4 linked regions of the Macaca fascicularis genome follow. The protein of the gene in region 4 interacts with the protein of the main gene of each other region in a biochemical or structural test. Links are inferred from orthologs where the notes say so. Each region holds a gene or a part of one and is shown on either strand. Other genes may lie near its edges. The genes, in order: LCP2, KHDRBS1, ERBB3 and ITK.

Region 1 (4,925 bases), about 13 Mb from region 4:
AGGCTCCTGTAGTCCCAGCTACTCAAGAGGCTGAGGCAGGAAAATTGCTTGAACCCGGGAGGCGGAGGTTGCAGTGAGCCGAGATCATGCCACTGCACTCCAGCCTGGGTGACAGAGCGAGACTCCGTCTCAAAAAAAAAAAAAAAAAAGAAGAGAGATCTTGTCTCAGGCTTCATGTTTAACATTCCAGAGAGTGACCCTGACTGACCCAGCTTTAGTAAGCTATTTATCACTGAGCAGAGTTCTGAGCACCTGTGATTGATGCACCTGGGGTCATATACAGGCCTGTGGCCAAAAGAGGCAAGGCCTGGCAAAAAGGAGTTGCCAGTGCTTGAACAGAGAGAGAATGCTAGTCATGAAAACATTAGCTTCCCAATACTGATTTCAGTCATAGCCGTGGAACAGAACATCTTAATCCTAATGGCCCTTTCCACTAAGAGACTTAAAATGAGCTTTGGTTTGTTTTATAAACATGATTCACTACCAAATAGTCGCTTTGAAATCGATCAGGTCCTTCATTTTAGATATTTTTGAATCGTAAGGATAGAATACGGTGAAGCAAGACAAGTTGAGCTTACTCGATACTAGAACCTGTGGTGTATGCTATCCTTATTACCTTGTACCTAGCTCACTTGTTTACCACAGAAGAGACACTAAGTAAACACTTGCTGAATAGCCTATTGTATAGACATGTAAATGAATGCAGAGTTTTCAGCCTTAGAACTCCCAAGTTTTGGACCCTAACTGAGAACTTCTGGTTATTAAGGATGAGATTTTGTGAAACATCATTTTTACCAGTTAAAAGTCTCTACATTCCGCATACTCCTTATCTTAACATATCATCAGTTTTAAAATGGTGACTTCTTAGATTCCTTCCAATACCCCTTTTATTAGCTCATGAAAATGAAGATGCAAGATACTCTTTTCCATTTCGAAAACTTGCAGATTAAGCAGAGATACCAAAAATTGTTGCTAATAAAAGTTGTGCAATAACAACCAAGGTCCCAAAGGGAAAAACTTGAAGAACAACTGATTGTCACTATTTGACTGAATACCAGTTTTTTAATCTGGCTGAATGCCTATATTTTTTGTTAAGTGAGATTAGTAAACTGAAGGAAAGAGTTTAGTTACTTCAAAGCACTTATACAACCTGTTTGGGAAGGATGAGGAGAAGGGACTTTATGGCAGAGCTGTCAGGGGGATAACAAGAGATAGAAGAGCCATATCTAATAAGAAAGTCTGATCAAATTTATCTAAAGTGTTGCTCCCTCATCCTCCCAGGGAGCCTTTGGTAAAATCTATGTCCCTGGACAATGCTTTTGGGGTTGAGAGAAGGTTGGTGGGGAGGTGTAATGGTTAGTGTGGGTGTGGAGATGTGAAGAAACGGCAATTTAACCCCAGATGTATTTATTAAACATAGACCCACGATACACCAAAGTCTTATCCCTAAATTTAAAATGTTTTGGTATTTGTAGTTTAAATTTTCTTTAAGACGAAAATATAACAGTATGGACTAAAAGTCAATAAAGTTGTTTTAGGAAACCAAAAAAGTAAAGCAAAAGACTATTTTAATCCCAGAAGTTATCTCAACATGCATTTATCTTTTCATAAAAAAATTACATAAAAATCCCCCCAGGAAAAAAATACCAAATAAGTAAGAGTGAAATTATATTTTTGAAGCCTCTTAAATTATTGCTGCTGAGAAAATGAGGTTTAGTAATTTTCAAATTACATGTATAAAACTAATAAATGCCTCTGACTGACAGAGGTTTGGCTGTAAGAAAATCAGTTTTATGTGATACCAATAACTATTACTGTTTCAGTGTTTTAAAACTTGCCCCAAATTGTTTTTGTAGCTGTGTAAACTATTGTATTTTGAAATGGGCATTAAAAAAACTTTTAAAAAATGAATTATTACAGTGCACTACTAGACTTCAAGTGTGAACATGACTTATGCACTTTACAAACATTGAAGAAGAATAAATAAATTATGGGATATTTGACAGTCTTCATTTCAAACACTGTTTTTAAAGGGAAGGCTAAAACCCTTGTGTTCATGGGGAGGGGTTCAGTTCAGTCCTAAGTGTTTGTCCGTTGGCCAAGGCTGGTTGATCTCGTGCTGGCAGCAGAGGCAGGAGGAGGGCTCGCTCGCTCGGCTCTAACTTGCTATGGGTGCCCTGCCGCATGCGTTAATGTGCACTGGTATCTGGAACCTCGGTTTTTCCCATCAATGAGCAGAAGTGGCATTTTCCTGAAGTAGCCAATAATATCTGACACAGACAGGAAGTCCTGGAAGAGCCAAGATAGGGGGATGAGTCAACATTGGAATGAAAAGCAGGAACTTCACCTTCAGTTTTTTAGCCGCATAATATATCCTGCCTCTTCAAGTGATGAGGATTGTGGGAAAAAATGTAAATGTGGCAATTAGTTTAATGATTTCTGCTATAGAACTTTGAAGAAAAATTTCCCATAAACATCCAGCAAACCATAGATAAAAGATCAAATACGGGCCAGGTGCGGTGATTCACGCTGGTAATCCCAGCACTTTGGGAGGCCACGGCAGGTGGATCACCTGCGGTCAGGAGTTTGAGACAAGCCTGACCAACATGGTGAAACCCTGTCTCTACTAGAAAACACAAAAGTATTAGCTGGGCTTGCTGGCGTGCGCCTGTAATCCCAGCTGCTTGGGAGGCTGAGGCAGGAGAATTGCTTGAACCTGGGAGGCGGAGGTTGCAGTGAGCCAAAATTGCACCACTGCAGCACTCCAGGCTGGGTGACAAGAAGGAAACTTCATCTCAAAAAAAAAAAAAGATAAAATATGTGCACGTGTGTGTGTGTGTGTGTGTGTGTGTATTTATATATATATATATGTAATTTGAAACGCATATATTTTAACTTCATATGAAGGGGTCATGTACATAGTCACAATTACAATATTCTTGCCTCAGGTTGCTCTGTTTTTGGTTTTGGTTTCAGTTTCTGTATCTCTGTTTCACCCCCAGTCGTTAATAGTGTTAGGAAGTATAAGGACTCAGGAGGTCAGACACAGTTCATGGTGTCTAGAGGTGGGATATGCAGCATGGCACGGGGGTTCCTTCCTGATCTCTCTGCTGTGTCCTCACTGCCACCTTCACACTCATAAGGGCTCAGCAGGCAAGTCTTTGCAGCCATAGCCTGGATCGCCCCAGCCTTGATTGCTTGCTAGAGAGGGAAAAGCCTAATTCATTTTTCTAGACATGGGTCACAACTCACCTAGGAACCCTAACAGGATAATGCACTTCCTTGAAGACTAATCTGCTAGGTGCCTGCCTCCATGGGAGCTGCAATGAGTGGTTGGCCTGAACTTGTGTGTTTCCACACTGTACCAAGATACATCTTGAAGGGCAAATACCTCTGCTTCTATAGGGTCTGTGCAGCTCTATCCACTGCCAACCAGTGATTCAAACATTTGACCACAAGTATGCATTTTGTTTTCTATTCATTATCATTATCATAACAGAAGTATGTGAAGCCGAAGTTATGGGTAAGCTGTTTCTCATTCTGGACATGTTTGATTCAGCTGGTCCTCCTCTTGGAACTTTGAACTTAGAATTTGTTTGGGGCATTACCTTCAGTTGTTAGTTTCCTTTGCAAAACACTAGCCCTGAGGGTTTTTTTCCATCAGTTCTGATTATCACTCAAAAAGTGACTGGCATGAGAATCTAAACCTTGGCCTAACAGAGAAGAATTTCTTTGGCAATCTGGCCATCTTCACAAGGCCAAAGCTCCATTTTGTTAAGAAATGAGCCAAGTATTTGAATAATCACCCCAGCAAATATTATAATTTTTCCTCTTTTCCAGGTGGTGTCAACTTAAAATGCAACCTACATTAAAATTATGTCACAGAGGTGAATAATAGCAGGAACTTACCTTTGACACCATCTAAATAGATTTTTTTAAGTTAACATACTTTTTCTTGCTTTTGAAAATTATACATGGGATTATTTGGAATAAAAGATATACAAGAAAGAATCCTATGGCAGAAGTAACCATTGTAAAGATTTTGCTTTATTTCTCTTCCAATAAATGAAGGGCTTCACTAATGTGATTTAATTCTAAATTTGCCATACAGCATGGACTTCCAAAGATTGCTCCATGAAGGCATGCAGAGTGGCATAAAAAAAGACTTTGGGAAAATGTTGAAATTTGAAATCCTTACCTCTTTCCCTCGGAGTCCAGTTCCCAACAAGTAAACTTGACTTTCCTTCTGATAACGGATCTGGATGTTGTAAACTTTATCTTTGTACAACACCATGAGGACATATGGATTGGTTATTGTTTTTTTAGAGCTGTCTCTAACCAGAAATGTGCCATCCTAAAAAGATAAATTCCTGTTATTATGGGAGAGTAAAAGTCAATATTTTTGTTGCTTGCAAGAATAGTAGACCAGCCTCCAGGGATCTGACAAACATGTCAGTTGCACTTTGCAGCTTCTTGAGTGCAAAACCCGTCATTCAACGAACATTCAGTTCTCCACACAGCTACAGATCCCATGTGTCATGAGTTATTTTGTTGTTAAGAAAGGCAACAGAGATTGTATCAGAGAAATTTCCGAGTCAATCTCGTTAAAGTCTCTTATAAAAATGGAATCTTTTGTTCCCTAATAAATAATGGGTGGTTGAGTGGATAAAAGGCCAGGAGAAATAAAAAACTTTATTGGTTAACTCAAGATATATCTTCCTACTATTCCTGTGAGTTAATTCCCTAACCTTTCTCTTCCACATCCAAAGTCAGAAAAGACCCAAATGCCGTGAAATTCACCCTTCTTAAAACCTTGTGATCCCTAGATAGTCTTTCCTTCATCAGACACTTGAACAAAATTGAATGCAGATGTTCTCTTTTCTTTTCTTTTTTTCTGATATTTGCTAAACTACTGTTTTGATTGT
Region 2 (5,955 bases), on a different chromosome or scaffold from region 4:
ACCTCAGCCTCCCAAAGTGCTTGGATTACAGACATGAGCCACCGCAGCCGGCCTATATTTTATATTACATATATATAATTTATGTGGATATGTGTGTTTTGTTTTCATTTCTGTGGGTGACTTGGTAAATCCCCTCCCTTAACCCAAGAAGGCCTTTAGGTTCTCTAGTTAAAGGGTTCTAAGTTTCACATCCAAAAATCAACAGTTTCCAGGCACTCAGAAGACAATTTCCGAAGAAACTTTTTTTCCTTGTTTTTTTTGTTTGTTTTTTGGTTTTTTGAACGGAGTCTCGCTCTGTTGCCCAGGTTGGAGTGCAGTGGCGCGATCTCGGCTCACTGCTGCCTCCGCCTCCCTGGTTCGAGCAATTCTCCTGCCTCAGCCTCCCAAGTAACTGGGATTACAGGCACGCACCATCACACCCCGTTAATTTTTATATTTTTAGTAGAGACGGGGTTTCACCATGTTGGCCAGGCTGGTCTCCACCTGGCCTCAGGTGATTCGCCCACCTCGGCCTCCCAAAGTGCTGAGATCACAGGCGTGAGCCACCGAACCCGGTGGAAACTTTTTTATTGTTAGAGATGAGGTCTCATTACATTGTCCAGACTGCTCTCGAACTCCTAGCCTCAAGTAATCCTCCCATCTAGGCCTCCCAAAGTGCTGGGATTACAGGCATAAGCCACCGCACGAGGCCCCAAAGACTTTTGAAAAGTGTGGGCTCATTAGGAGAACTGATCCAGAAGAAAAAGAGATGGGAGTGAGTGCTTTAAATGGAAGAAGAAAAAAATCTGTGGAGGGAACGAAAAGTTAGAGACAGCACTAAGCTTTTGATGGTTTATGGGACAAGTAGGGACCTAACGCTCCACCTGCATATAGCACTCCAGGATGTGGAGAACGCCGTGGGAGACTGGCCATCTGGCCTTTGAGAGTAGTGGCAAGGGTCTCTTTGAGCAAGTCTGGAGTGGTAGAAGGAGCCACCCTAATGATGCAAGCAACGTGGATTAAGGATCTGGTCTCTACTCCACTTTTTGGCAGAAGAATCACTTAATTGGCAATGACAACGGCAAAACAAAACACAATTCAGAGAAAGCAGTAAAATATATAAAAAGAGCTAAAATGCTGCTTAAGATTTCCCTGACCAACAACGGCAACCGTTTTAGAACCGACTGGAAGAGATCTAATACTGGAAATACATACACTGGAAACGACTTCTTGTGTTCCCTATGTCTGGGGCCCTTTTCTTTGCTAGACTTCAGATCTCTGATCCGAGCCATCCCTCTTAGCTCATGTCCTCCAGTAGCCTTCAGAGTTTCCACCGAGCCGTCCTTTCTCAATTTCTCCCTCCAGGTTTCCCTTCCCCAACTTCCCCTCCTGCATCGGACTCTCCCTTAGCCTTCCTTTCTCCCTCCTGTCTTCCTCCCCCGGCGGTCTCAATTCTCTCTCCCTCCCCTTTCCGTGTCCCTCACGGCAGTCTCCTTTTATTTCCTTACTTCGGTGACCGCCCCCCACCCCACTTCCATCCCCACCCCACTCCCCACCCCACTCCCCACAGCCTCCCTCCGCTGCTCAGCCGTTGGAGAGGGCGTGGCCCCGCGAGTAACAGGTCTCCCGCCCCACACTCCGCGGGCCCGCGCGCAGACAAAGACATTCCACAGCTCCCGCCCCCTCCACGCAGTAGGCCAGAAGAGGGAGGAGACACGTGTCCCGCTAGCGCCGAGTCACGTGGAAAAGGAAACGAACGGAGCCTGCGGCCTCCCGCGCATGCGCGTCAAGCTCTGGCCTGGCGGGCGCGGAGGGAAAGCCAGAGTCAGGAGGCGACTTCTTCGGACGCCGCGGCGGTGCGCAGGCGCCGTGGCCGGACTGGGGACTTTGTTCTCCGCGGAGAAACCCAAGGGCGGTGCCGGTGACTGGCTGCGCACGCGCGCCGCCTCATTTCCGGTGCTCTCTCTCGCTGGGTCGCTCGGGTCGGCTTCGGTCGCTACTGCTCCCGCTCTCCCACCCCCGCCAACCGCCGCTTGGGCCTCCGTCGCTGCCGCGTCGCTCTCTCGCTCCTTGGTTTCGCACATCCTCCCCGATGCAGCGCCGGGACGACCCCGCCGCGCGCATGAGCCGGTCCTCGGGCCGCAGCGGCTCCATGGACCCCTCCGGTGCCCACCCCTCGGTGCGTCAGACGCCGTCTCGGCAGCCGCCGCTGCCTCACCGGTCCCGGGGAGGCGGAGGGGGGTCCCGCGGGGGCGCCCGGGCCTCGCCCGCTACGCAGCCGCCACCGCTGCTGCCGCCCTCGGCCACGGGTCCCGACGCGACAGTGGGCGGGCCAGCGCCGACCCCGCTGCTGCCCCCCTCGGCCACAGCCTCCGTGAAGATGGAGCCGGAGAACAAGTACCTGCCAGAACTCATGGCCGAGAAGGACTCGCTCGACCCGTCCTTCACTCACGCCATGCAGCTGCTGACGGCAGGTAAGGGGGCCTCCTGGGTCCCTCGGCCATCCTGGGGCATGAGTGGCCCTGGCTTTGTTCCTCTCGCTTCCCGCCCCCTCGGGACCGAGGCAGTCGGGAGCTCCGGTGTCATCCTCATCTTTGGGAGCCTGGATTCCACATTCCCACCTCAACCCGGAGTGCGTGGGAGAATTTCTAGGCTGCAGTGGAGGCCCAAAGGCGACTTTGCGATCTCCTAGCGCTAACGTCTTGATGGATGGTGCTGAGCTCCCCGCCCCTTTCCCGACTCTTCCCTCCTCCCTCCTCTTGCGGCTGCCGGGCGCACAGATTCTTCCAGAAATTAACCTGTATTTCCCCCTTTCCCGAAGGGAAACCCTTTTTGATCGCGGGTGGCGATGAGCGCTTCGTCCGAGGTGTAGGAAGTGAAGACAGCCGGAGCGGGGAGGGACCGTGGGAGGAAGGGCCGAGGTGAGGTGGGGTGAGGCTGGAATACCCTGTCCAGCGCCTCGCTGTCGCTGGGGCCGAGCCGGACTTAGCGGTAACCGCAGCTTAAGTTGCTGGGAGGAAGGAGCGATTTATGGGATCGGAACTTGAGGTTTCCGAATCAGATTTCCGACTAAGGCTGATAAAGTAAGAATTGCTACTGAGCCTGAAGGTTGTCCTCTTTCATTTTACACTGTGTGTTCACTATCATGGAAGAAGGAGTGAAATAACCCTAGAGACAGTGAAATGGGACGATAGGGTCTCCCGCGTAGTTCACATAACGTTTCCCAACGAGATGGACAGAAGTTGAGAGAAGTGGCATGATGCTTGTACTGAAAGACTTAGTCTTTTTGTTGCTGTTTTTTTACATTTTTGATTCAGTAGTGAAATAAATTAGAAATGAGAGTCTTTGTTCTGTAGATTAGCGCTCTTTTCTTGATCAGCACTAGCCAATCACCTAATCGCTCTGATTTTTCCCTAAAGCTGTGTGACCTTCGCTTCAAGTTAAAACATTATTTTAATAAATATTTCTTATGATACCTAAATTTTAGTAAGCAAGTAAAAATTCACATCCTTCAACACTGAATGAGTAGTTGGACTCTTTGGGAAGGTTAATATAATGGGCAGTTCATTATGAAAATATTATCTCCCTCTCTTTGTTCTCTGTCTCCCAACACTGTAAGGTAAGGGATCTTTACCAGTGTGGTGTTCATCTTTTATATGCTTTCTTAAGATAACTGTCAAAAACTATTGATCCTTAAAAGTTACTTAGAATTTTCAGCCTTCCCTCACTGCTTAACTAAGAGAGGAGTGCTCTTTATTTTTAACCTGGGCTTTCTGGATGTATTTTTTTTTAAACCCAACTGAAATTGGAGAAGTGTGGTTGAGGTAATGTTGGTTTGGGATGTATGAATTCTTTTTAGCATGGGTAAGTGTTAGTATATGTTGAGCCTGGCTTTTAAGGTATTTCTGAATTATCTTGCGAGGGGATTGCAGTGAAGTCGCAACCCATTGTGAGGAAGTGAGACTTTGAGAAGATAGAATAGTAGTATTTAAGCTCTGGTAAGATCACATGGAAGGGGCGGGCGCGGTGGCTCATGCCTGTAATCCCAGCACTTTGGGAGGCCCAGACGGGCGGATCACGAGGCCAGGAGTTCGAAACCAGCCTGACCAACATGGTGAAACCCCCGTCTGTACTAAAAATACAAAATTAGCCTGGCGTGGTGGCGCATGCCTGTAATCCCAGCTACTTTGGAGGCTGAGGCAGGAGAATCGCTTGAACCTGGGAATCGAAGGTTGCAGGGAGCCCAGATTGCACCATTGCACTCCATTCTGGACAACAAGAGCTAAACTCCATCGCAAAAAAGGAGAGGAAAAAAGAACACATGGAAGAAAAATATAGCTAAGACTTCATGTTTGAGGTCTGAGCACTTTACATTAAATATTTAACCTATGAAATGAGAACTTTTATTATCCTCATTTTTACAGATGAGGAAACCAAGGCACCCAGAGATTAATAATTTGCCTAAGGTAACAAAATTAGTAAGCAGCATAACCAGGGTTTTAAGTCAGTCTACACACCTTCCCCGTTCCCTCACTGTAGTGCCTGCTGCAAATTATACTTTAAAAGTAAGCTATAATTGGACAAAATATTAAAATCTAGCTGGGGTGATAGGTGACCCAAAAAAAAAGTGTATTTGAAAGTATAAAAAAAAAAAAGACAAAACTTTGAGGGATGTAGATTTTGAATATAGACTTCTGTGTTAAGCAGATTGATATTCAGCAGCGAGGACAGTCGAATGTATTTGCAGACATAAAGATTCAGTCATCCATCTTTGTTTTCTGGAAGAGAAATAATTTACCTTATTGTGTTAATGTATTTATATACTAAGTAAAATGCTGTTATATATGTCAGTGTTCTTTTTCTTTTTTTTTTTTTTTTTTTGAGACGGAGTTTCGCTCTTGTTGCCCAGGCTGGAGTGCAGTGGCGCAATCTCGGCTCACCGCAACCTCTGCCTCCCAGGTTCAAGCGATTCTCCTACCTCAGCCTCCCTAGTAGCTGGGATTACAGGCATGTGCCACCACACCCGGCTAATTTTGTATTTTTAGCAGAGACGGGGTTTCTCCATGTTGGTCAGGCTGGTCTCAAACTCCCGACTTCAGATGATCCGCCCATCTGGGCCTCCCAAAGTGCTGGGATTACAGGCATGAGCCACTGCGCCCGGCCTCTTTTTCTACTTTCTACAACTAGTAAAATATAAGTTAGTGTAAGTGACTCAAGAATAAACATTTTGAATAGATTAGCAATCTGCAAAAGATCTTGGAGGGATAATCAAAAATCCATCCTTCAGAAGGATGGAAAAAGTGGAAAACATTTTACAAAGTCTGTTGAAACTTCAAAATAGTTAATTCCTTTATTTACAATATTCTCTAGAAATACATTAAGACCTTCCCAGTTCATTCCACAGGGCTAGCAAAACCTGCTATTAAAACTGGAAAATAAGGGCCGGGCCAGTGGCTCACGCCTGTAATCCCAGCACTTTGGGAGGCTGAGGTGGGCAAATCACGAGGTCAGGAGTTCAAGACCAGCCTGGTCAACTTGGTGAAACCCCTTCTCTACTAAAAATACAAAAAATTTCCCCGGGCGTGGTAGTGGGTGCCTGTAATCCTAGCTACTTCGGAGGCTGAGGCAGGAGAATCATTTGAACTCAGTAGGCAGAGGTTGCAGTGAGCCCAGATCGCACCACTGCACTCCAGCCTGGGCAAAAGAGCGAGACTCTGTCTGAAAAAAAAAAAAACAAAACCGAGAACACCTCTCCTAGGAATGTGCTCAAAGAAACTTATACGTGAGTACTTGATTCATAAAATGGTGTGCCTTGTTCACAAAATGTTGCAACTTGTGTCACCATTCATTGGCTAATGTGATAGATTTACAACAGAAAATATTTGGCTGGGCACAGTTTCTCATGCCTGTAATCCCAGCATTTTGGGAGGCCTAGGCGGGTGGATTACCTGAGGTCAGGAGTTCGAGACCAGCCTG
Region 3 (5,885 bases), on a different chromosome or scaffold from region 4:
CAGTGAAACCCCATGCCTGGCCTTATCTAGGATTTTCATTTATTCAGTCAGGACAGCACCCAACAGAGCTGGCCGGTTACCTGGCAGCTTTATCTATTGTGTATATCCCAGGTACTTAGCATGATGTTTCTCTAAGTGTTGAAGAATCCATCGCATCTTGGGATCTAGCTGAGAGAGAAGGGTTAGGGTTGGGAAAATAGCAGAAGATACAGCTAGCATTCACTGAATGCTTCTTAAAGGTTGAGCACAGTAATTCAGAGTTCCACCTGACTTTTCTCATTGAATCCAAACAACAGTCAGCTGGATGCGGTGGCTCATGCCTGTAATCCCAGCACTTTGGGAGGCTGAGGCGAGTGGATTACCTGAGGTCAGAGGTTCAAGACCAGCCTGGCAAAAATGGTGAAACCCTATCTCTACTAAAAACGCAAAAATTAGCCAGGCGTGGTGGCAGGCGCCTGTAATCCCAGCTACTCAGGAGGCTGAGGCAGGAGAATCGCTTGAACTCGAGGGGTAGAGGTTGCAGTGAGCCGAGATCAACCCATTGCACTCCAGGCTGGGCAACAAGAGTGAAACACCGTCTCAAAAAAAAAAAAAAAAAAAAAAAAATTCCAAACAACATTTTTTTTTTTTTTTTTTTTTTTGAGACGGAGTCTCGCTCTGTCGCCCAGGCTGGAGTGCAGTGGCGCGATCTCGGCTCACTGCAAGCTCCGCCTCCTGGGTTTACGCCATTCTCCTGCCTCAGCCTCCTGAGTAGCTGGGACTACAGGCGCCCGCCACCGCGCCCGGCTAATTTTTTGTATTTTTAGTAGAGACGGGGTTTCACCGTGGTCTCGATCTCCTGACCTTGTGATCCGCCCGCCTCGGCCTCCCAAAGTGCTGGGATTACAGGCGTGAGCCACCGCGCCCGGCCCAAACAACAGTCTTATAAGTAGATACAACAGTTTATAAACAAGGAAGCCAAGGAAGATTTTCTCCTTCGGAACTTGGACCCTGAATACTAGGTTGAGCTGGAGCTGAGTGAGTAATAAAATGAAAAGCCCTTTAATGTGGAGGAGGGTAGGTAGGAGTGGAGACCCTTAAGTGGCATCAGCTCTGTTATCCGATGGGAGTGTGAATCCGAACACATGAAGCTCCAGTCTCAGTAGAACAGTAAGAAATCCTAGGGAAGGCCAGGCAGGGTGCTTCACACCTGAAACCCCAACAATTTGGGTAAACTGAGGTGGAAGGATTGCAGAGGCCAGAGGCCAGGAGTTCAAGACCAGCTTGGGCAACATAGCCAGACCCACCCGCCCCCATCTCTACATCATACAAAAATAATAAAGAAATCCTAGGTAAGGCCAGGCGGTAAGGCCAGGTGTGGTGGCTTACACCTGTAATCCCAGCACTTTGGGAGGCCAAGGTGGGTGGATCTCCTGAGGTCAGGAGTTCCAGACCAGCCTGGTCAACACAGTGAAACCTCATCTCTACTAAAAATACAAAAATTAATCGGGTGTTGTGGCAGGCACCTGTAATCTCAGCTACTTGGGAGGCTGAGGCAGGAGAATCGCTTGAACCCAAGAGGCAGAGGTTGCAGTGAGCCGAGATCAAGCCATTGCACTCCAGCCTGGGCAACAAGAACAAAACTCCGTCTCAAAAAAAAAAAAAAAAAAAAAAAAAAGGGAGAAAAAAAGAGAAAGAAATTCTAGGTAAAAGTCTGAGCCCCACTTCTCAGTCACCTGATCACCTCAACCACTGTCACCAGGTGGATGACCTTGGTAATGTCACACATTTCAAGTTCTGTAAAATGGAGAGTTATATTGCCTAAATCATATAATTTTTATGTTAAGTGACACATTCTCTAAGGCGCTAAGTTTGAGGACATACTTTGTAAATGAAATGATATATGGAGATACTGTATATGTTAATGGTTTTGTTGTTGCCATTATTATTATGACTGCTATACACGTGGTCTGGAGAAAGCCAACCTCCCCAAAGCAAAGGTTCTCCAACAGAGAACAGGCCCTCTAGGTTGCATATCAATACAGAGCCTGTTTAAGGAATGTTAGCCGGTAGTCTTTGCTAGGCCTGAGGGGTGAAATTTTTGTTTATCAAGACTCAACTGTTTTCGAAGTCTTCAGGCTTGAAGTTCTGGGGAAAATAACTAGGCACTCTGGGCGAGATCCCCAATACCAGTTTAAGGGATTTGAAATGCAAGGCCGTCTGGGACTCCACTGCCACAGGCTGGGCACCAGGCGGCGCCGGTCGGATCCGTCCCGGGACTAGCAGGGCTTTGGGCCAGTCCGGGCAGCTGGTGCTGGAGGTTCCAGAGGTCCACGCCATTGGTGGACGCAGTCTCTAGTGTCCTCTCCGCATCCCGCTTCACCGCCCCACCCCTTTCCTGCGCGAGCCTGGACTTGGAAGGCACCGGGGAGGGTGTGAGCGCCTTGGTGTGTGCCCATCTGGGTCCCCAGAAGAGCGGCGGGAACTGCGGCCGCATGGACGGTGCGGCCAGACTCCAGAGTGGAAGGGGAGGCAGCTGTTCTCCCAGGCGGCCGTGGGGGGCAGCAGAGGGGACGGCGACAGGTGCGGGAGCCCCTCCCGGGGTAGAAGTGGAAAGGCGGGCTCCGGGGTCTGTTCGCAGGCTGGAAACCACCCCCGCCCCCCATCCAAATCCCGGGAGAGGCCCGGCCGGCGCCGGGTCTGGAGGAGGAAGCGGCCGGAGACAGTGCAATTTCACGCGGCCTCTTTGGCTCGGGTTCCTGGGCTGGGTGGATGAGTTATGGGGTTTCGAGTCTGGGAGAAACTGAGGTGGCCTGGACGTGAGGCAAAAAACACCCTCCCCCTCAAAAACACACAGAGAGAAATATTCACATTCTGAGAGAAAATCCACCAAGTGAACCAACCGGCTAGGGGAGTTGAGTGATTTGGTTAATGGGCGAGGCCAAATTTCAGGAGGCTGGGCTTTGGAGCGCTTACCACTCCCTCATTCATTACCCTTCCCTGGATCTGGGGGCTTTTGGAATCTTGACCTCCCCTTGGCCCAGCTCCTGCAGAAAAATTAGGGTGAGCCCCATCTTCGATCTGCTCCGCCAAGTTGCGGGACCGCGGGGCGTGGCGCGCTCGGGGCGGGCAGTCCGAGGCTCCGCAATCCCTACTCCAGCCTCGCGCGGGAGGGGGCGCGGCCGTGACTCACCCCCTTCCCTCTGCGTTCCTCCCTCCCTCTCTCTCACACACACACACACCCCTCCCCTGCCATCCTGCCCCGGACTCCGGCTCCGGCTCCGGCTCCGATTGCAGTTTGCAACCTCCGCTGCGCCGCAGCAGCCACCAATTCGCCTGCGGTTCAGGTGGCTCTTGCCTGGATGTCCTAGTCTAGGGGCCCCCGGGCCGGACTCGGCTGGGCTCCCTTCACCCTCCGCGGAGTCATGAGGGCGAACGGCGCTCTGCAGGTGCTGGGCTTGCTTTTCAACCTGGCCCGGGGCTCCGAGGTGGGCAACTCTCAGGCAGGTAAGTGGCGCGAGAGCACTGGCGGGCTCGGCACCTGGGAGCCGGAACCCAGTGCGCGAAGCCTCTGAGGGCATGGGCAGGGTCTCAGGCGGCGCGGGGGTGTGGGTGCTGCCCCCGTACGCCGGACCACCTGGGAGTGGGGCGATCAGGCTCGGGTTATCGGCGTGGTCCGGCCGAGGGCGGCATTCTTGGACCCTCACGCCCCCTTCCCCAGAGCGTCGTCGACCCTCTAATTGGTCTCCCCAAAAGAGGCTGAGGCCGCAACAGTAGTTCACACTTCTGAGGGACCCTGCAGGGAGCGGGGCAGGGACCTTAATTCTATAAACAGGAGGTGCTTGGAGGTGGGGGCCTTGGCGGAAGGGTCTCGGTTTGCTCGCCAGCTTCCTGCCCGCCACCCCGCACCGATTTCTGCTACTCCTAGTTTCGTTGTTTTGCCGACAGGGCGGAGCTACGGAAGGTTGGAGGGGGTTGTTGTTCTCTAGTGTTGGAAAAACAGGAGCGGCACCTCCTCTTCCGTGAGTGAGCCTGCCCTGGGGAGGTCTGAGATTAACCAGAGGGCCAAGTTCAGGTGACATCAGGCGGGAGGCCCAACAGAGGCTGGCGTCCGCTTTCCTCAGAATAGCAGAGCTTGAGCAACATCTCTTTGTCAAGATCCAGGTCAACCCAACTCATATTTATTGAGCATCTACTATATACAAGGCGCTAGGCCAGGAACTGTAGGGGCAAGGATTGTCCAGCCTCTTGTCTTTTCTCTCCCCAACCGGAGGATCAAGAGGGCACCTCTACTACTTTCTAAGCCTCCTGCCTTGGGGAGTCCTACCTGGGCCCATCTTGTGCCCCCTGCCCCCATTTTGCTTATTGTCTGAGGACCCTAGACAGAGCCCTGGATTGCTCTTCTCCAGTCCTCCCCCGACTCCCATGCTATCTGAGCCCACCCCTTTGGGGTGTCTCTGGGGCCGTGGACACCTGAGGTTTGAAGTTCTGTGGATCTCCTCCCCTCCCCCCAGATTTCAGCTTGGGATTTGGCACAGCCAGGGCCCCTTCCCCAGTGTGGGAGTGGAAGAAACCACCTGTGCTTCCCCCACAGTTGCTGGGCCTAAATTTAGATCCTGGGATTTTTAGATGTGAACACTCCCAGCTGGTGGAGGGGGGTGGTCTGGGGACTGGCGTGGGAGGGAGCAGTGGGGTGACTGTATAACTGTCCCATCCAGACTCCCGCAATCTTCACCCAGAAACCCAGGAGTACCAGAGTCTGGCCACCCTCCCTGGGTAGGCAGGAGGCAGGCATGGTTGGGTCTCTTTACCCTTTATCTGGGTCCTGCAGCCTCTGGGCATCCGGCCCTGTCTCAGTCCTTCTATAGCCCCTTTGTCCTGGCTGTGATGGGGGTGGGGGATGTTGGAGGGGAGGCTTCTGGTTGAGGAGGGGCTGGAGATTCTGGCTCTATCCCACCCCTAGTGCTCTCTACCAAAGGAGTGCCTGTGCCACTGCCCCTCCTTATGCTCCCGGTCCCTGGGTACAGGAGGGATTTTTATGATTCCCTTCCCCTGCCCTGCTCCCCAAGCTGCCTAGCTCCTCCCCAGACGTGTTGTTTGTGCTCCCTTCCTGCCCAGGCCCTTTGCCCCCTGTTTGTGTAATATGGACTTTACCCTCAGGGGAGCAGGGAACTGGGCTACCTCTAACACTGTAGCCTTCCAAGCACAGACACAAAGTCTGCACAAACACATATGGGCACGTGGGATAGATGGGGCCACCTGAAATACTTCCTGCAAGGAAACCCGACCACAGGTTCCTGGGCCAGCAGGACCAATGTGTACGTGTTCATGTGTATGTTGTGTGTGTGTGTGCCCACACTACTACTTCCCTGTGCAGAAAACTTGGCTCCTCCCTTATCTGGGGAGAAGGATTGGCACTATAACTTGGGAAAGGGGGTGTCCTGCCAGGAAGGGGACTGGGGTGGGGCTGTTCCAGAAATGACTAACCTTCCTAGTCTCTTTCATTTCAACCCAAGGACCCTGGAGTTACCAGCTCCTCTGGAACTAGCTCTCTTTGCTGGGACTAGCCAACCTTCATGGGGAGTGATAAGGAGCCCTCCAAGGTCAAGAATTCAGACTAGGGGTATATAAGAGGGATTGGGGCCTCACCAGTCTCCCTCCCTCCATTCCCACTGTTGCCTCCCACTGACTACCACTGCCTCAGGGAAGGGTGGCTGGAACAGGTGGTATCTACCCCCTATTCCCCACCCCACACGTGGTCTTTCGCTGAACCAGAAGAAAGAGACTGGGGTAGGGCTTCAGAGTCCAGGATTTTCCATAGGCCATTGTCCACCACATTTGCAAAGAGTGAACTCCCAAGGCTGACATGCCATGTGCCTCTAGTCTAGGCTTTCCCCTAGTGCGGG
Region 4 (5,688 bases):
GCTTAGTTGGTGGCTACCTCTTCAAGGATCATTTGTTCTTAGGCTTGCCAATGATGTGCTGGACTTGGCTTGTACTGGCCTGAGGTAGCTAATTGTTAAATTTTCAGGAATCTGTGAACCAGCAGACTTCACATTGGTAGTTTAAAATGGGCCATGATGGGAGTATTTACACCAAAGGAATTGGCAAACACTATGAATCAAGGCTATCCAACAAGCCCCATACTCGGATTCCTAAGCATTTACCAGCACACTCATGTGCCCTTATCTCTCATTGCCCTCTGTTATAGAATTTCTGGCATCAGGGACTACTTGGAAAAAAATTGACAGGCACAGGAGAGACTCTGAAATCATGTCTGTCTGCAAGCCGCTACCTGCCAAATCTATGCTTCTTTCTGGCTCACTGCTCCAGCAAGATGAAGGCGCTTTTTGGCCCCTCTGAAAACACTTGCACATCTCAATAGGAAAAACAGGCATCTAACACCAGAACTAAATCCATGTTAAAGTAAAAGCCTCAATCAATTAGTATTATAATGACAATAGGCATGATTTTTAAGGTTAGAATAAATATACTTGATTTATAGAACTACAGAATATGTTCTTGAGTATGTAGAAGGGTTATTTTTCATATGGTGTTATAAATTCATAGAATATGAGAATTGCAGGAATCATAATTTTACAAATGAGAAAAGAGAAAAACAAGCTCTGACACCCTAAGAGGGGCAATAACTGGCCAAACAGCTCATGATGCATGTATATCTACCCCACAAACTTGTATTGCCACAGAATAGAAGGAATCCAGGACCCTGATCTTAGCTTGATTTTGGAGAATCCTTGAATATCTCCCATAATTTGAAAATGAATTGTTATGACACCCTGCTAGCTTCTGTAGAGATGTGAAAGGGATACAAACAATGGTTAACTTTTAGTAGATGCTTACCAGATGGCAGGGCCTATGCTAAGTACCTAACATTAAGTTGAATTGTTTGAGACTTCTAATACCTGATATTCGACCTGCCAAATAATTTCAAAAAGTTCAGCCTAAAGACATTATACCTCTGAGTCTTTGCCTTCTTCCTATGAAATGGGTACTAGTATCACATCCATTTTACAGATTGAAAGTGAAGGCTTTAATTTAAAAATGAAAATGTTCTTCCCACAGGTGTAATGTTATTTACTTATGAGTAATATTAATGCACTCTTGTGTACAAATTGGTGGCCCTAAACGATGTAGTATACATAAGACATGGACGATAATAACTCACATATATTACCTGTTTCAGGGACCTTGGATAAATTTCTAATTAATCAATTTCTATAATAATTAAATAATTAAAGAAATACTTTAAAAATGTTATTTATAAGTGCAAAAAAGGCATTAGAAAACAAGAAATTTGATGTTTGGACATGTATTCTCTGTATCTTACATGGAAGTATCAGAAACTACAGCCTAGGGCTCCCCAGAATGAAGTAATTGTCTTGGAATTTTTCATAATGCTCAGATAAAGAAGTAGGGTGATTTTACAACCTTGTCTACTTGCAAATTATGACCAATAAAATTCTGAATTGAGGCCATCTGGTTCTGTGATTATTTGCAAATAATATTGAGCTGAATTCACAAACAGTTCATAAATAACAATTGGGCTAAAGAATTATTAGTACTAACTAAATAAGATGATACTATGTTGAATCAGGAAAACAAACTGGTGAAAACTGTAAAATGGGCTTTGAAAAAAATATTTAAAGGTACATGACTGTTCTTTCAATATGAAACAAAAACTTTAAATGTTCCATTCACAAAAAAGCATTGAGTAATGCCATGCGATTTATTAGCTCTACATGATAAATCCCCCAAGTTCACAAACTGGGCTCCTGGCCACCTGGCAGAGGCCTCGCACATAATTCCATGTGTTTTCTGATTGACTGGTAAATTGTTATCAGTAAGAGTCTGATAACAAGACAAGCAATTCTTTTCACTTTTAAAGAGGCAGCACTATTTTGCCTGTAACTTTTTTTTTTTTTTTTGTAATTCATCAAAGACATGCAACACCTGCAACTTTAAAAAGTGAGGCATCCATAGACTCTATACCCAGCCTGACCTCCTTTGGAGCTCCACCTCATGAAATGCTTTAAAGCCTGGCACGCCAAAGAATCCCAAACTCATGCCTCCAGCTACTAAGTCAGACTCCAACAAAGAATCAGAGCACTTTTGTTTCTAAGTGACCATCAGGCACCTAATATTATTTTCCCTTCAGTAAAATATAAGTGATAATCTTTGTCCTACCCCACTAATGATGTAAAAATAATATAACCATACAGTAAGGAATCAAACACGCTTTGAAAAATTGCAGCATAGGGCTAAACAAGAGCCATTGCATAAAGCAAAGAAGTTTTAAAGAAGAAAGGGATCTTGAAGGTTGTTATTTCCAGTTTTTTCCTTTGATAAAGAAAGAACCTGAAATAGGGGGTAGACATTTGTCCAGATTGGATCACCTACTGAGAAGTAGTTTGGTCTCCTGACCCTTTGTCCAATGCTTTTTCTGCCAAACTACATTATTAGGATTATTCCTGTTGCTTTTGTTATTACTGATCTTAAAGAAGCATGAGACTATTTTGAGATACAGAGACAGACTGACCTAGCTAAGCAGCCATACTCTTCTGGGTAAGAACCGCTGGTCTGCACTGCAGAAACTTTGTTCTTAATAAACCTGGTGTCCTAGGAAGTCTACCAAGAGATGAAGAGGCTTGCCATTGTGCCTTACAACTTTTAGACAATTAAATGCCTGGGGAATCTTATTTCAAGATTGGGCAAGTGACGAGTATTGCGACAGACAGAGTTATTCATGAAAACGTTAACACGGAACCCCAAATTTAACCATTCTAAACACCAGTTTCTTCCACTAAAAATAAGCAAGCTGGGGTAGATCATCCCATCGAATGCTAATGTTGTATTAATCTAAGTTTCATTAAATTTAGTATGTTTCATTAAGTTTAGTATGTTTCATTAAATTTGGTATGTTTCATAGAAAGTTCAAGTTTTAATGAATCATAATACTTGCTTCCTAAAATGTTATTAATAATTTAAAAATCAAACATAATCTTGCACGGGGAAAAAGCTGATGAATATTAAATTTCCAGTTTTTAGAACTGAAATTGCCTCGCACCACCATTTCACCTCTTGACTGCTCTCTGCATTCTCCTCTGGTTACTTTTACTGTACTTTTTATGTTGTTACAACAAGCATGTTTGTGTTTCCTGTATTCTATTGTATGCTATGTATATACTTTTGCATTAGCCCAGTCCAAACATAAAATACTATGCGAAAAAAGACAAATGAAACTGCTCACATACCCCATGACGATCCTCAAAGTATGCCAGGCTGGCTTTGGTTAACACAAAGAAGCGGACTTTAAAGTTCGAGGGAGAAGTTCTTCTCTTTTGTTGGGATTTCTTGATGAGCTGTTCTTCCAGGAGGATAAAGTTGTTCATGATCCAGTTCTTGAAACGTGATGCACCTTGGGCATCACCTCTCAGCACAACCAAAGGGAAGAGTTTTGGGGCAAAGAATGCAATGTGGAGGCAGTTGATCTTCAGAGAGTTGCTCAAGGGCAACTTGCCTTCAACGTTATCTTTCTATCAACATTCAGCCAACATAGCTGAGCGTCTCCTCTGATGTCAAAGGCCATAACCACATCCTTTCAAAATTCACAAAACGAGGAAGCATATGTAAAAAATACATACAGCCTTTGCTATATGGCTCAAAATGATATTTGAAAAACTGTAGACTTAAAATTATGGTAAGGATTACAGTTTAGTCTTTATAGTTCCTGGTTTAATCCATCCAATCCATCCAGCAGTTAAAACATGTAGCACAAGGGGTAAGGACAATGCGTGGTTTTGCTTACCATGATATACTCGGCAACCATCACAGTGCCTGACACATAAAAAAGATGTTTAAGAAAAATTTGTTGAATGGATCTTCGCCAAATTGGGTTTGACAATTAAAAGAGGTAATGAGCACAAACCCCTCACACATTAAAATGAAGAAATATGTTGCTGAAGTTTATTAGTTTTTAAGATTTAAATTAAAGCCCACAGAAATTTCTCAATGCTACATATAGATGATTGCCTTTCTGTCCTGACATTTTGTGAAACAGTGAAAAATAAGCGAATCCTTCAGAATGGCATAATAAACAAAGTATATATGGGCTTTAAAAACAAACAAACTTGTGTTGGATTACCAGATCTGTCACTTACTAAGCTGTTTCTCTTTGAGCAAGCTGTGCCTCCTCTGATCCTTAGCTTCCTTGTGAGGGTCCCTTGGAGGACTGAATCCCATACCTCTTACAAATGGTGGGTGCTAGTCATGCATGTTGCCTTAGAGTTAGTACGTAGTTGAAAAATAATGTGTGGCATTTATCTCTACCATGTTAATAATCAAGAGATTTTAGTGTAAGCAGAGATGGCATGTACTGGGTAGTGATAAATAATAAATGAAACAATCATTCTTGCTGTATAGGAGTGAAATTCTCCAATGTTTATTTTTAAATGTAAATTACCAGACAACAGCCTTATTTTATTTCATATACTGGATGCCCCAGCATAATCAAGACACTCAGGAGGGTAGGGTACAGGTATATTTTAAATGATCTCCCCTATTCTGAGATTTTAAGATATATGTGTGAAAATACGCTGCTCAAACAAGATCTTTTTTTTTTTTTTTTTTCTCCCTGAATATGGGCTTGAGGTAGGGATTGCTGCTTTTCCCAAATATCTACTCTCTCCTTCATACAAGAGTAACTGACTGAATCCCTGATGGTTTTCTGGGCATCTGGCCATCAAGAATAAAGACCACAATTTTTAGCCTCCCTAGTAGCTAGGTGTAGTTATATGACTGTCTTCTGGTCAACTGAATGTACAGAAGTGGTGTGCACAACTTCTAGGAAATTTCCTTAGTGGGATCTGTCATCCCCTTTTCTTTCCATTTTCCTCCTGCCTTCTGACTAGAATGTTGAGGTGACAGTTGGAGCTGAAGCAGCTATCTAGTATCATGAGGTGGAAATTGAATGTTGAGGACAATGGAGTATAAGATAGAAAGAGCCTGGGACCTTGGTGACCATGGATCTTCCATGCCAGTCCTGGATTACCTTTTTTAATATCTATTTTCTGAGTCTCAGTTATTTTGAGGTTTCTGTCACTACCAGGAAACCTAGATAATACAGTAATACAGTGTTATCTTCTCAAACTAGACTACAAACTCCTTTGAGAGAAGTACATTTTATACCTGCTTGGTTCAGATGAAAAGATTCACAGACTTCACAAAGTGTTCTCATCCGGGAAAGCAAAACATCATCAGTAGCTGCTGCAATCGTTAGGAGTCTTTCATTTGCTCAGTCTCCATGGAGTGCCATCATAAGTAGTTTTATTCTCTTTCTCATAGAGCCATCAAACCCACTATCTCGGAATTATCTTTGCCAACTTTAAATTGTAAACTTAGGAAGCTCAATATTTTTTTTCTCACTTTAAGGAAAACATAAACAAACAAAAAAAAATAGTCCCTTTGTTTGTTTTCGTTTTAAAAAGTTCACTTCCCAGGAGCCAAATTCAAGGAACTCCCACTTGCCAAAGATGGAACAATTTAAGTATCAAAAGGAATAATAATTGCCATGAATTGAAGAACAGCAAAAATGT

What was found.
Region 1: the proteins of ITK (region 4) and LCP2 form a complex in vitro, tested with the Homo sapiens proteins (2 studies listed by BioGRID, with this or other methods). The link is inferred for Macaca fascicularis from reciprocal best matches to the Homo sapiens genes ITK and LCP2.
Region 2: the proteins of ITK (region 4) and KHDRBS1 form a complex in vitro, tested with the Homo sapiens proteins (4 studies listed by BioGRID, with this or other methods). The link is inferred for Macaca fascicularis from reciprocal best matches to the Homo sapiens genes ITK and KHDRBS1.
Region 3: the proteins of ITK (region 4) and ERBB3 form a complex in vitro, tested with the Homo sapiens proteins (2 studies listed by BioGRID and IntAct, with this or other methods). The link is inferred for Macaca fascicularis from reciprocal best matches to the Homo sapiens genes ITK and ERBB3.

Annotation. Positions count from the first base shown.
Region 1 is NC_088380.1:177,052,450-177,057,374, forward strand, and holds the end of LCP2 (lymphocyte cytosolic protein 2), read right to left. Parts: intron 4,355-4,925; coding exon 4,199-4,354; intron 2,290-4,198; coding exon 2,167-2,289; 3' UTR 1,552-2,166; downstream 1-1,551. UniProt on the Homo sapiens protein: Adapter protein primarily involved in signaling pathways within T-cells, as well as other immune cells such as platelets, mast cells, and natural killer (NK) cells.
Region 2 is NC_088375.1:203,014,961-203,020,915, reverse strand, and holds the start of KHDRBS1 (KH domain-containing, RNA-binding, signal transduction-associated protein 1), read left to right. Parts: upstream 1-1,937; 5' UTR 1,938-2,071; coding exon 2,072-2,453; intron 2,454-5,955. UniProt on the Homo sapiens protein: Recruited and tyrosine phosphorylated by several receptor systems, for example the T-cell, leptin and insulin receptors. Once phosphorylated, functions as an adapter protein in signal transduction cascades by binding to SH2 and SH3 domain-containing proteins.
Region 3 is NC_088385.1:62,864,071-62,869,955, forward strand, and holds the start of ERBB3 (receptor tyrosine-protein kinase erbB-3), read left to right. Parts: upstream 1-2,373; 5' UTR 2,374-2,474; coding exon 2,475-2,562; intron 2,563-2,981; exon of another isoform or gene 2,982-3,042; intron 3,043-3,243; exon of another isoform or gene 3,244-3,404; coding exon of another isoform or gene 3,405-3,486; intron 3,487-5,885. UniProt on the Homo sapiens protein: Tyrosine-protein kinase that plays an essential role as cell surface receptor for neuregulins.
Region 4 is NC_088380.1:163,973,268-163,978,955, reverse strand, and holds the start of ITK (tyrosine-protein kinase ITK/TSK), read right to left. Parts: upstream 3,608-5,688; 5' UTR 3,487-3,607; coding exon 3,349-3,486; intron 1-3,348. UniProt on the Homo sapiens protein: Tyrosine kinase that plays an essential role in regulation of the adaptive immune response. Regulates the development, function and differentiation of conventional T-cells and nonconventional NKT-cells.